Linked DNA regions of Arabidopsis thaliana. The protein of the gene in region 1 interacts with the protein of each later gene in a pairwise test. Each region holds a gene or a part of one and is shown on either strand. Other genes may lie near its edges. The genes, in order: AT4G32750 and NAPRT2.

Region 1 (5,106 bases):
AGATGAAAAAACGTGAAAATAATTATCAGCATATCATTCTTGTTAGAAAACTTGTAAGTCATTAAAATCCTCATCATGTACATTAGTATCATGAACAAGTAATCTCTGATCATGTCAACTTCCACTAATAAAAGAGGTTTGTGAAACAAACACGCTATCCAAATGCACCGTTTCAGAAACAACAGTGGCTATTTCAATGAAGTAGCCATCAAGGAAAATAAAAAGGAGAGACAGTTATCTAGGAGCTCACAGTTAAGGCAAGAAGCTGAGCTTTTGGATTCCTGCTACCAATCCGTTTTTTAATGCCTTTCACAACATCTTTTGCTTGCCTACAAAACAGGAACCAGTTTCAGACATCACATAGTATTGGTGCAGTTAGTACACACACTGAAATCTCCTTCTTCCAATCACAAAGCATATAAAGAAAATAACTTGAGAGCTTCTACAATTAAAGCCCTATGAAAGATGACTAAATTGAGCAAAACAGTAGGCCACAAGTATTCCAATTGGTCCTAGAAAACATGGAAATATCTAACTCTGGTAAAGAAACGAAATTTGATTTCCATCTTACTGTTAACTCTCTCTCTCTCTCTCTCACTGAACCAAAAATCCAAATCCGTATAGAGAGTTACAATAGTTTACAGGAGACTAATCGAGAAGTATAGAAAACAAAAGGTAGAGAGAGAGAGAGAGATAACAACAAAAACAAAATCGGAGGGAGCAGAGGGAAACATACGCTGGATCGCTATTGAGCATATCACAGATCTCGAGGTTCATAGCCCAATCAGGCCCGATCAGCATCTCGCTCGTCGCTCTCTCCACCATAGCGTTCACCATCTTCGCTTTGACCCCCAAACAGAAAAACAATTAACCTCCGATTGAAAGAGAGAGACGAATTTTGAAACCAACGAATCAGGCGAAGACGAATTAAGCAGCCGGTAAGATCACGCAAAGAGATTACTCCGGCGAAGAATCTCTCGCTCAGGAATTCACGCCCTTCTCTCTTTCTACTAGAAATCTTTTTTTTTTCCTTTTCTTTTCTTTTTCTCTAATTGTTAATTTTCAGAATTTGTTTTTTAAAAATGTATTTTCTGTACTTCAGATCATTTTTTATTTTCCACGAAATAGCAAAAAAGGAAATAAGTCGAATATCTTCTGGAAAAGGGTCCACTAAAAGATTGCCACGTGTTCATATCGTTGTGTTTGGATAGTTACACCAATTCAGTCAGGTCATTGCTTTCCATCGGACCGTTGCTTTTGACCCACCTATAAATCCGACGGTCATCGTTTCACTAACAGTAAATGTTAGTTATTAGTATTATTATTTTTTCGTTTTTGGGAGCTAAATATAATAATGTTATCCAATCTAAATGAATGAATTAGATTTAGATGGAACATTACAGTTTGATGATTGGTCGATTCTCAACAGCTTACAATGTTTTCTTTTTAATGATCGAAACAAAGTATTTGCAAAACAAAACTAACCAGCGATTACGATTGCGATTGCACACGTATGCAATTAATTATGAGTGTCATTTGATAACGCTATGAAACCGTTAAATCCACATCTTTACAAAATTCATCATAAAGAAAACATTTTGGTCTTATGAAAGTCGTGATTGGTGTGATACAAACCTAAACCAACTTGCTACACATCTATTTACTCTCTATTCTATTCTATTGAGTTCTCGTTTCTTTATCACTTTCTGTGTTGGATGTATTCACCCACTTGCAAAAAATAATTTAGATTTATAGACATCAAAATTGCATAAGAGTGTTAGTTCTAACTTCATCAGTTGAATTAATTAGGACTCTATAGCTAAGCATATTCTAATTCTATGATTATGATAATAATTGAGCGGGAAGTGGGGATAGATTCGAACTTTAACAAACTATTGGGGGTCAAACTGTAATTACACAGAAGTTATCAAAGCAAGTACCTTTACACGCGCCTAATTGTTTCTGCATCACTAATACTTCTTCCTCATTTCCCCAGTTCGGTGTTCATTGATTTAGGGTTCCTGATAAACTTCGGAAACCCCTATTTTGAATTGTTTCGGAATTATCTGGTGAGAAGGGTCTAATTCGATTGTGGATTAGTTTTTTTTTTGTGTTTCTTCAATGGCGATCATTGGAGATGCGTTGCGTCAAGCGTTTATGCCAAAGCAAGAGTACGAGAGCCTTAGGGAAGAAGATAGAGCCTGGATTAAGCTTCAGAGGCCGACTTTAGTCTCGATCGTGGCTTTCCTTTGTTTTGTCATCTTCACTTGCACGATCGTCAGCTTGAAAATTGTATTTCCTTCGAATGTTCTTAAGAGGCCATTTTGCAGCGACATAAAGCTACAACCTTTGCCTATCTATGGCAAAGCTCGTGACTCCGATCTCTTTCCCGGTGCTTTTTACTTGACCGATCAAGAAACTGTTGATTATTACTGGATGGTCGTTTTCGTTCCCTCGACTATAATTTTCCTTGTATCATCTGTTTATCTTGTAGCAGGTGAGCGTCAAGTCTCTAGCTTTTGTTCTTCGTTATTTCATATCTACAGAGCTGGGTTTGCATTTGTGTTTTGTTGGCTGATTTCATTAGATGATGCTCAGTTCTGAGTGGCTTTACGCTAGATATTGATGCTTAGCAAATTTCTGGCAAAATGGCTTCTGAATTTTTCGATTGGTGAGGTGAAATATTGTCAGAGAGGGTTGATTGATTGATGTGTCCTCAAAATCTGAATGCTCGTTGTTATGTTTAGTTCTAGAATCACTCGTTTTGATTGAAGCCACTATATAAAGACAGGTCTGATGATGGTTCAGGTTTATTGGGATTTTAGGGGGTTAGCCATAGAGCAAGCTGTGGAGTTTGCTAAATCCAGTTAATTCCTCTGCTAGATTTTGTTGGATTTGAATTTTATATGGATGTAACTTAGTGGAGCTGATTTATTTCCTTTATTGCTTTCTGCCTCCACATGGCAGCCCTTCTAAGTTTTACAGGTGTGGTATGTCTGCTGCTTATTATTCTCGCTATTTTGTTGCAATACTGCAGGAATTTTTGTGGCTTATTCCGCTCCTCACCGTCATGGGTTTCTAAAAGTCGTTGAAAATAACTACTGTGCTTCAAGAAGAGGTATACTCTCTTCTCTCTTTAATATGTATTCAGCTTTCCATATTTGTTCTTTGTATATCCATGCATTCGTGTAATAGATTCATTCCTTTTCAGTGCCAGACTTTATCTTATAAATTTTTATGTGTAATTCTATTTCATCTGCTAGTAATTACTATGTTTCTACCTTTGAGAATCTGGGCTCTTCAGAGTTTATCACTAAGCTTGGACCTCAAAATAGGTTATTGATCTTCTTTATCATGTCCAATAAATTCACAGGTGGGGTCCGTTGTCTGTCAATTCTGAATGTTGTGTTTGCTATCATCTATGGTCTCCTTGCTATATTTCTCGGCTCAAGCCTCCTCACATTAGGAAGCAGCTGTTCTGTGCCTTTGTTTTGGTGCTACGAGATTTCTTCATGGGGTTTAGTAATCTTGTATGCTGGAACTGCTTTCTCCCTTAGAAGAAGAGCTGCTTTAACTATTGACGAAGGAGAGTTTGGGAACAGAAATGATCAGGGCTTGGAGATGCTTGAAGCTAATCCGTTGGAATTCACACCAGACGTTGAAAGACGAGTGAACGAGGGGTTTAAAGCATGGATGGGACCATCTTTATTATCATCTGATGAAGAAGAAGACGAACCTGACTTTTACAATGAAGTGCCGAATGTAACTCATACTCTTTCAAGCAGGCAAAGATCTTGATTCTTGCAAAGAAGAATTTGGTATGACACTTATGCAAACCTCCAAAGATGATTGCTTCAGAGATTGGGCTCACCAAATTGTTCCCTCAGTGATTCTCGGGTTATTTCATGTCTCTGCTTTCTGCTGATGTTGTTTATGGACGGATCATGAGAAGATTTTGATCCGGAAGATAAATCAGAACGGTTAGGACTGTTGCTGTTGTAGATATACACATAGTGGATCAATCAAGATTGTGTTTGGTTCTGTCTTTTGAGCAGTTCATGGTCGGTTTTGATCGTTTACATTGTTCATTGTAGGAATCTTGGGTTTGTAGTATAGGCCTAACAATACATTTTGATTGTACAATAACCTTTAGATCAACAGTAATAGCATCATAAAAGGATTAGTATTAACTTCCAAGTCCTATAAAAGAAGAATCTGTGTCTACACAATATCATAATACAAACTTTGCTGGTTTTTAATGGTTTTATGAATCAGTATCATACCTGAACATTGTGAAAAATTCTTAGCATTTAACAGAACAAGAAGAAAATCACTTGGTTCATCATGAGGACGAGAACTTTTGGAGTTACAAGTTAATTACTTGAGAACAAGTTACTTTTTCGCTATTTAATCAATGGTATGATGTCCAGAGTTGAGAGATCTACACATTTAAAAAAATTAGAAACAAGAAAATTGGACAAGGAGGGAATAAAAAAGACATACACATATGGGATCAAAAAATTGAAGGCGAGACTCCCTTCAGAACTCTATGAACAAAACCACCCTTCTCTATCTGCAACTCTTCAAAAGGTAAGATGATGGGCTTGAGTAGCCTCCCGGAGAAGCCGAAGGTACCTTAGCTTTCCCTGGTGTCCCACAATCGCTGAAGTCTAAGGCGCGACACTCCACCTGCATTCCACAGAGAATTGGTTCACAGTACGTCAATTTATAAACTCAAAACTGTTATTCCTTTTAATCTACCAAGTTCAAGATCCAATTTCAACATTAAGCTAGACCAGGTGTATTGATTAGAGGACTTGATCAATTTGAAACTTATTGAGAGTTTGTATGATATATAAGGTGTAAGTTGAAGCTGAAACCTGGGATCGGTTCCCAAGCTGATCATGAGGCTGGTGCTGATTTTCTTTCCCTTGAATGGACTTGTTCAGCTGTCTCTTCTTGAGTATCGATTCAGGTGTGTCATTACCCAGAACTTCCAAGGCATCTGCATATGCCGTAGCTGAGTGTTCACTCAAATGCTTCATCAGTCCTATGGCATCATAACTTCTCTCGCCGGGACTCATAAAACACCCAATATCCTGGGAA
Region 2 (5,938 bases), on another chromosome or scaffold:
TGTGTATACTATGTGTTTCTTTTATATCAACAAATTTAACTTTCATCCAAGAAAACCCACGCCCATATCGAGTGCCCTGCCCTCGAAGCCATGGCTATTTGGAGACCATAAGAATTCAAAGTTACACTTGTATAACTCTGTTGTATAAGACCAAAACTATCACTTGTTTTTAACCTCAATTTGGATGGATTATCGTCTTGTCATTTTTAGTCATCTTGTATTCTTGTTAAGTGATTTTTCGTTAAGTAATGGTTTCCTTATATTCCATATTTTTTTTTACTGTTTGGTAAGTTTCTGTAATAAAGTTTTACTCCTCATTTACTCTGTTGTATTTTTCTATTCTCATATTCCATAATTCATCTTTTTGGAAATGAATTTTGAATATGTGGTTAGTGACTAGGTCCACCCCAAACGTCCTAGTAACGCCTAAAGAAGTTTTTGAAGAAAGGTAATGTTCTTCAAATCTCTGCTAGAAAAAACTCAATTAACTCAACTGCTTACCAATCCGTTTGCAACAGTAAGTTGTCAACCATATGACGAAACTAAACCTGATCCAAAATCGTTGACTTGAGTAAATGTTTTTACAGTCTCCAGTATGTTTACAGCTGTAAATATAAAATCTTATTGAATCAGTTGAAAACAAAGTTCCAGTGAACGCAGAGAGTTTCTTTCCTCAGTAAGAAAATGAAACTTACTACGACAATGAGAGATCATCAAAATGTTGTAAGAAAAAGAAACTAAAAGTGAAAAAAATGCATATTTGTGATGCTGTGGTATATAAATTATATACATTACACCAAACCAAAACCAGATTCTTCTTTTTGGTTGTTCTGTCACTGCAATTCACCAACAGGTGCTTCGTTTAGCCATAAGAAGTGGATGAAATCGTACAGCTTTGCGCTTACACTAACCTGTAAACCATGAGAGAAAAAAACATTTACACAGATTTCTCAGAAACTGAAAAACATGTTTGTCGGATAAAACCATACCTTATAAGGAGTTGGGTTTAATCTCCTCATATGATCAGGTCGCATGTTTTCGAGCTGTTTGATGCAACGGTCTCTTATCTCTTTCAAAGGCGGTAATACTTCTCTTGCTTCATCTTCATTGGTATAGAGAAACAATAATCAGTGAAAAGCATTGTCATTAATAACTCTACGGTACCGGAAAATCTTTACCTGCACTTCCACGCCAATAACATTTGAGGAGCTCTTCGACACGTTGTGGCACTACATATGCTCTTTTGGATTCGTTGAATGGGTGACGACAAAGTAAACGCTCACCAACCTTTGATATCAAGAAAGATATTATGTAAAAATGCAATAAGGTAATGAGATTAAAATCTTTGAGAGAGTTATCTTTCGTTTTACCTTTGGAGGTGGTTCGTTCTCTCCAGTCATTATATCTACCAGAGGGTAACCTTCTTTGCCGTATAATCTGTAACTTCGCTTTTTACACGGTATTGATACCTAAACGAATCAGAATGATAATCAGATTAAGTGCAATGTGACATTGAATGTTCAGAACACCAAGAGAGAGAGAGAGAGTTTTAACCTTTGTAACATCTTCAGAAAGTTTAATCCGAGGCTGATTGTTTATCTCCACAAGTTTGAAAACGCAACCTAAGGCCGCTTGTGAATAGCAAGTGACCAAGTAGGTCCCGATGCCAAAAGCATCCACCTCATGTCCCTATAGAGATGAAAGAAAAAACACTGCTTAATAATAATCAATCTTTCGGGGGCATGGCATTTGAGAGTGGGTTAGGGAGTCACCTGTTTATTTAAAGCGTCAATCGTCTCTTCATTTAGATCATTACTAGCAGTGACGACCATCTTCCCAAAACCAGGCACTTTTAGTTCTCTCTCTACCGTGCAGAAGAAATTTCTGGCCTCTCTAGATAGATAAGCTAAATCACCTGAATCCAGTCTAATACCTAATGCTTTATATCTGCGCAGCACAATAAACATCAATTGCATCTCAAATTCCATATGATCCTGAAGAAGTACAAAGTCAAGTCAGACGATCGGGTATTGATAAGAGATTCTTACACACCCAAAGTCATTGAGTGCTAAAGCAACTGCACAGAAGTTAGGGATTCCACTCTTCATCACCTGTAAAACAGTCAGCAAAACACTAATATAAGAGTTTATTAGAAATCCTAAGGCTCAAATGAGCTATCTACTATGGTGTTTAATGCTCACATCGTATGTATCTACGAGGGCAAGAAAAGTTTTGGGGAATGCCAGTGCATATGAGGTGAAAGCTGCTAGCTCGCTTTGATTTGTCTCAGAGAAAATGCCACTTAGAGATGGTGAATACTGTCATCCACAAAGAAACAAAACATAAGAAAAACTGTGACAAAGATTCAAGCAAAGGGTTGAAGCAGAAATAGAACAATGGTCCTGAGACTAGAAAACAGGAAGAGGAAGAGCAAAATGTGCAATAAACAAACCTGAATCTTTTTTAACCATGTCTGAACATGACTAACAAAATCCTCGCACGTGGTTTTCCCATCAGCACTACGAAGTACTTTGTCAACAATCTCATCAGTACTCTGCAATCCAAAGTTAACTAATTATATCGAAAATGCTTTTGTGATATTGTTATGAGCGAGGATATTAAGTGTGCATCAGAACCATGGCTAATAAAGTTATAGCAACAAAGGCATTGACAAGAATATCTTATTTTCACGAAACTTTGTGTTATCGTCTCTACTAGCTAACTCAAGTATGTAACCTCCACATAAAAATTGAAACTTTTGGCTGAAGTGAACTGACCATGAATGAGCTAACATAAGCATGAGAGTGTGTTCCACGAAGAGGAATCCCAAAAAGTTTTCCAGCTGCTACATTACTGTCATTGGCAAAATACCCAACAACACAAAACACATCATTTCCACATTCCCTTTCACCTACTTCCAGATCAACAAAAACAAAAAGCAAGACTTGCCTTGTTGCATCAAAACCTCCAAGGTAGCAATATTTTGATGCGCTTATTGCACCATCCGGACCCTAAGATTCCAACACTAATAACATCAGACAGAGATGGAAAGAACAACACAAAAGGCAATATATCAAAAAACAAGAGAGAGATTTATAGGAAACCTGAGCCCTTCGAGCACCAAACTCGAGTAGACTCTTAGATTTTCCGGCAACAAAGCGATGCCTAGCTGCGTTAGTAGCTACCAAAGATGCAAAATTGACAAGATTGAGGAATGGAGTTTCCAACAATTGAACAACCTATGGAGATTTTACAACAACTGATGAATCATTCATTCAAGAAAACTATTCCTTAAACAATCTTCACAAATGAAAGAGACAAAGAGACTCACACCAACAGGTCCTTCAACTCTCATGAGAGGTACTTTAGGAAAAACAACTGATCCTTCCGGAATTGCATAAACTTCAACATCAGAACAATCAAGCCCTCTAAGATAATCACAAAAAGCTTCCTAATTTGAATCACAAACATAAAACCCTGATTTAAAAATCCAAACTTTAATCAATAACAATCTAAAAACAAACAGATTTTTGATATACCTCAGATCCAGGCAAACACTCTTGAACGAAATCGATTTCTTCATCAGTCAATTTGAAATTGGCTAAGAACTTAACACACTCTTCTAATCCAGCAAACACAGTGTACTCACCACCAAATGGGTTCTTACGAAAATACAGATCGAAACTGAAAAGGAAACAAAAACAATTTCAAATATACAAAACCATTCAGAATTCAACATCAAAAGCAGAGCATGAGAAGAGATTGTGTGTTGTACACGGATCGTTCGTTGTGTTTGCCAGCTTTCCAATAAGCATAAGCCATGGTGAATTGATAAAGATCATTGAGTAAAGGTGTGACCATTGGATTCGTTGGTCCGTCAATGATCTTCTGACCCAATTCTGAGCCGTTCTCTTTCGGCTCCATTGTCGTCGCTTCCAATTTGTGTGGAACAATTGGCTTCGTATGAGTGAGTGTGTGTGTGATTACGAGAGAGTGAATGGACGAGGAACACTGGTTCTTGGTTGTTTATATTGGAGTGGTCAAAGGAAAAAGAAAAAAACAAGTGTGTTTAAAGAAAGAGACGACGACCACCACACAAAGCAAAACTTGCTTTGAACTTGACCTAGTCTTTCTTTAAGAGCCTTTATTGGTTTCTAATTATTTCTCATTTTAGAGTTTAGACTAAAACGAGGTTTAATTTTCGTGGTTGTTGGCTCTTAGATTATTGGAATTTTCACGTTTAAAAGAATTTTATGTGTTGAAAATTGGCATATGGTAGCCAAATTCAACTAATTATAATAATTACTCAGAAAAATTTACATATTGGTATTGGTAACAAATAACAATATCTTGTATCTCTAATAAATTAATGAAAAGAGTTTAGCTGTTTTAATCTAAAAAACTTAAATTACAGAGGCGGGGAATTTTTTCATTTCAAATACATTTTTTTGGTGTGATTTATTTCACATACATAATTCGGAAAACTTGTATAGCGTAAATCTATTGATTAATAATGGTACACACTTGCTGTGTTATGATATATTTGTGTATTTAATGATTTTAGTTTATTGACTATTTTTAATGTGCAATATTAATGATTTTTAGCTCTTTTGCAATCAAATATGCAGTATGATATTTGATTAGTAGTAAATATTTACATTTCACATATATGTTATAGTATTTGATGAATATTGTACTTATAATATATAATATTTGTTAACATTAAAATAGAAAAGGTTAATGTAGATTAATACATCTTAAAACTTCAGTTTCTTAAAATATATAAATATTGTAAAAATGTTCAGATGCTTATTATGGAAAAACAAAACAAAACAGAATTGCATAACACCAAAAATTTTAAACATGATTATGAAAAAATCAATCCAAATTTAGGTACATTTATTTATCAAAGTTTAATTTTACATCAAACAATAGTATCTAAAATGAATTAAAATGAACTCAAACTTAAGACTAAACATAAGATTGTCCCAACTTGGTTTTTGAAGCCATATCGCATATGGCCTAACCATATTCATGGTCTCTTTTATTTGTCAGTGTCATGATATGAGTATCACAATTTGATAGGGTTCTCTTGAAGTTGTTGATTAAAAATAATCAAAACAAATAATTCTGGAGAGAGCCTCCTACGTGGCAGTCAGTGGTTGGTTGATATATTTAACCAACAAAAAATCCTTGTGTCTTTATTTTTCATTCCGTCGGGAAATTTTCTCACTCTCTCTATTGGTCGTCTCTCTCGACGCTGCTCACCATTCCGAGTTCGTTTCACCAAATCGATGACCCAATTCTATATGTGTTTGTCCCAAATCCAATCTCCCACCAAACCCTTGCTTCGTTCCCTCGAATCAGAGCATTGTCAGATAGGAAGATGACTAAGCTTTGATTGATTTAGTTGTGTAGATGATTTGGTTCTTTAGAAAACGAAGAAGTTATCTGATTGATCTGTTTCGTTTTATTGTTTGTTGCATGGGGATCAGTGTTGTTGATTTGGATCCCATAAGAACCAGCTTTTGCTTGGGTACAGTCATTCTAGTAATCTAGTCTGTTCTCTTGGGTTATTAATATTTTCTTCAGTTTGCATTATTAGCGAGAGGAAGTCTACATATGTGTTTGATTGATTCGTAATGCTGGTTATCGTTAACACCTTTATATGGTTTTAAAATCAGGTGATCGTGTGCCCACTAAGTTGAAGAAAGCCATCATGCAAGCCCGAGAAGACAAGAAGCTGACTCAGTCCCAACTTGCTCAAGTATTTTCTCTTTTCTCTGTATCTATCTCTTTCTTTTGTTGCTTTTTCTTAGTAATTGGCTTCATGATGGTTATGTTGTATGTTTTGAGTCATTGGCTTCATAGATGTACAAGACTAGGAGTTTGTTTTGTTGGCGTTATGTATTTTGGTGATAGACTCTGTAACTATGGA

Evidence for each region.
Region 2: the proteins of AT4G32750 (region 1) and NAPRT2 interact in a two-hybrid assay, tested with the Arabidopsis thaliana proteins (one large-scale study listed by BioGRID).

The regions. Positions count from the first base shown.
Region 1 is NC_003075.7:15,795,107-15,800,212, reverse strand, and holds AT4G32750 (uncharacterized protein), read left to right. Parts: upstream 1-1,958; 5' UTR 1,959-2,121; coding exon 2,122-2,497; intron 2,498-3,037; coding exon 3,038-3,118; intron 3,119-3,373; coding exon 3,374-3,798; 3' UTR 3,799-4,312; downstream 4,313-5,106. Other genes in the region: AT4G32760 (ENTH/VHS/GAT family protein), read right to left, coding at 251-329, 737-837; PC-MYB1 (Homeodomain-like protein), read right to left, coding at 4,570-4,689, 4,881-5,099.
Region 2 is NC_003071.7:9,969,805-9,975,742, reverse strand, and holds NAPRT2 (nicotinate phosphoribosyltransferase 2), read right to left. Parts: upstream 4,141-5,938; 5' UTR 3,925-4,140; coding exon 3,776-3,924; intron 3,685-3,775; coding exon 3,540-3,684; intron 3,452-3,539; coding exon 3,332-3,451; intron 3,240-3,331; coding exon 3,105-3,239; intron 3,012-3,104; coding exon 2,950-3,011; intron 2,854-2,949; coding exon 2,778-2,853; intron 2,555-2,777; coding exon 2,453-2,554; intron 2,319-2,452; coding exon 2,202-2,318; intron 2,112-2,201; coding exon 2,053-2,111; intron 1,948-2,052; coding exon 1,773-1,947; intron 1,690-1,772; coding exon 1,555-1,689; intron 1,470-1,554; coding exon 1,371-1,469; intron 1,288-1,370; coding exon 1,179-1,287; intron 1,103-1,178; coding exon 990-1,102; coding exon of another isoform or gene 951-989; exon of another isoform or gene 912-950; coding exon 834-911; 3' UTR 536-833; downstream 1-535. UniProt on the Arabidopsis thaliana protein: Catalyzes the first step in the biosynthesis of NAD from nicotinic acid, the ATP-dependent synthesis of beta-nicotinate D-ribonucleotide from nicotinate and 5-phospho-D-ribose 1-phosphate.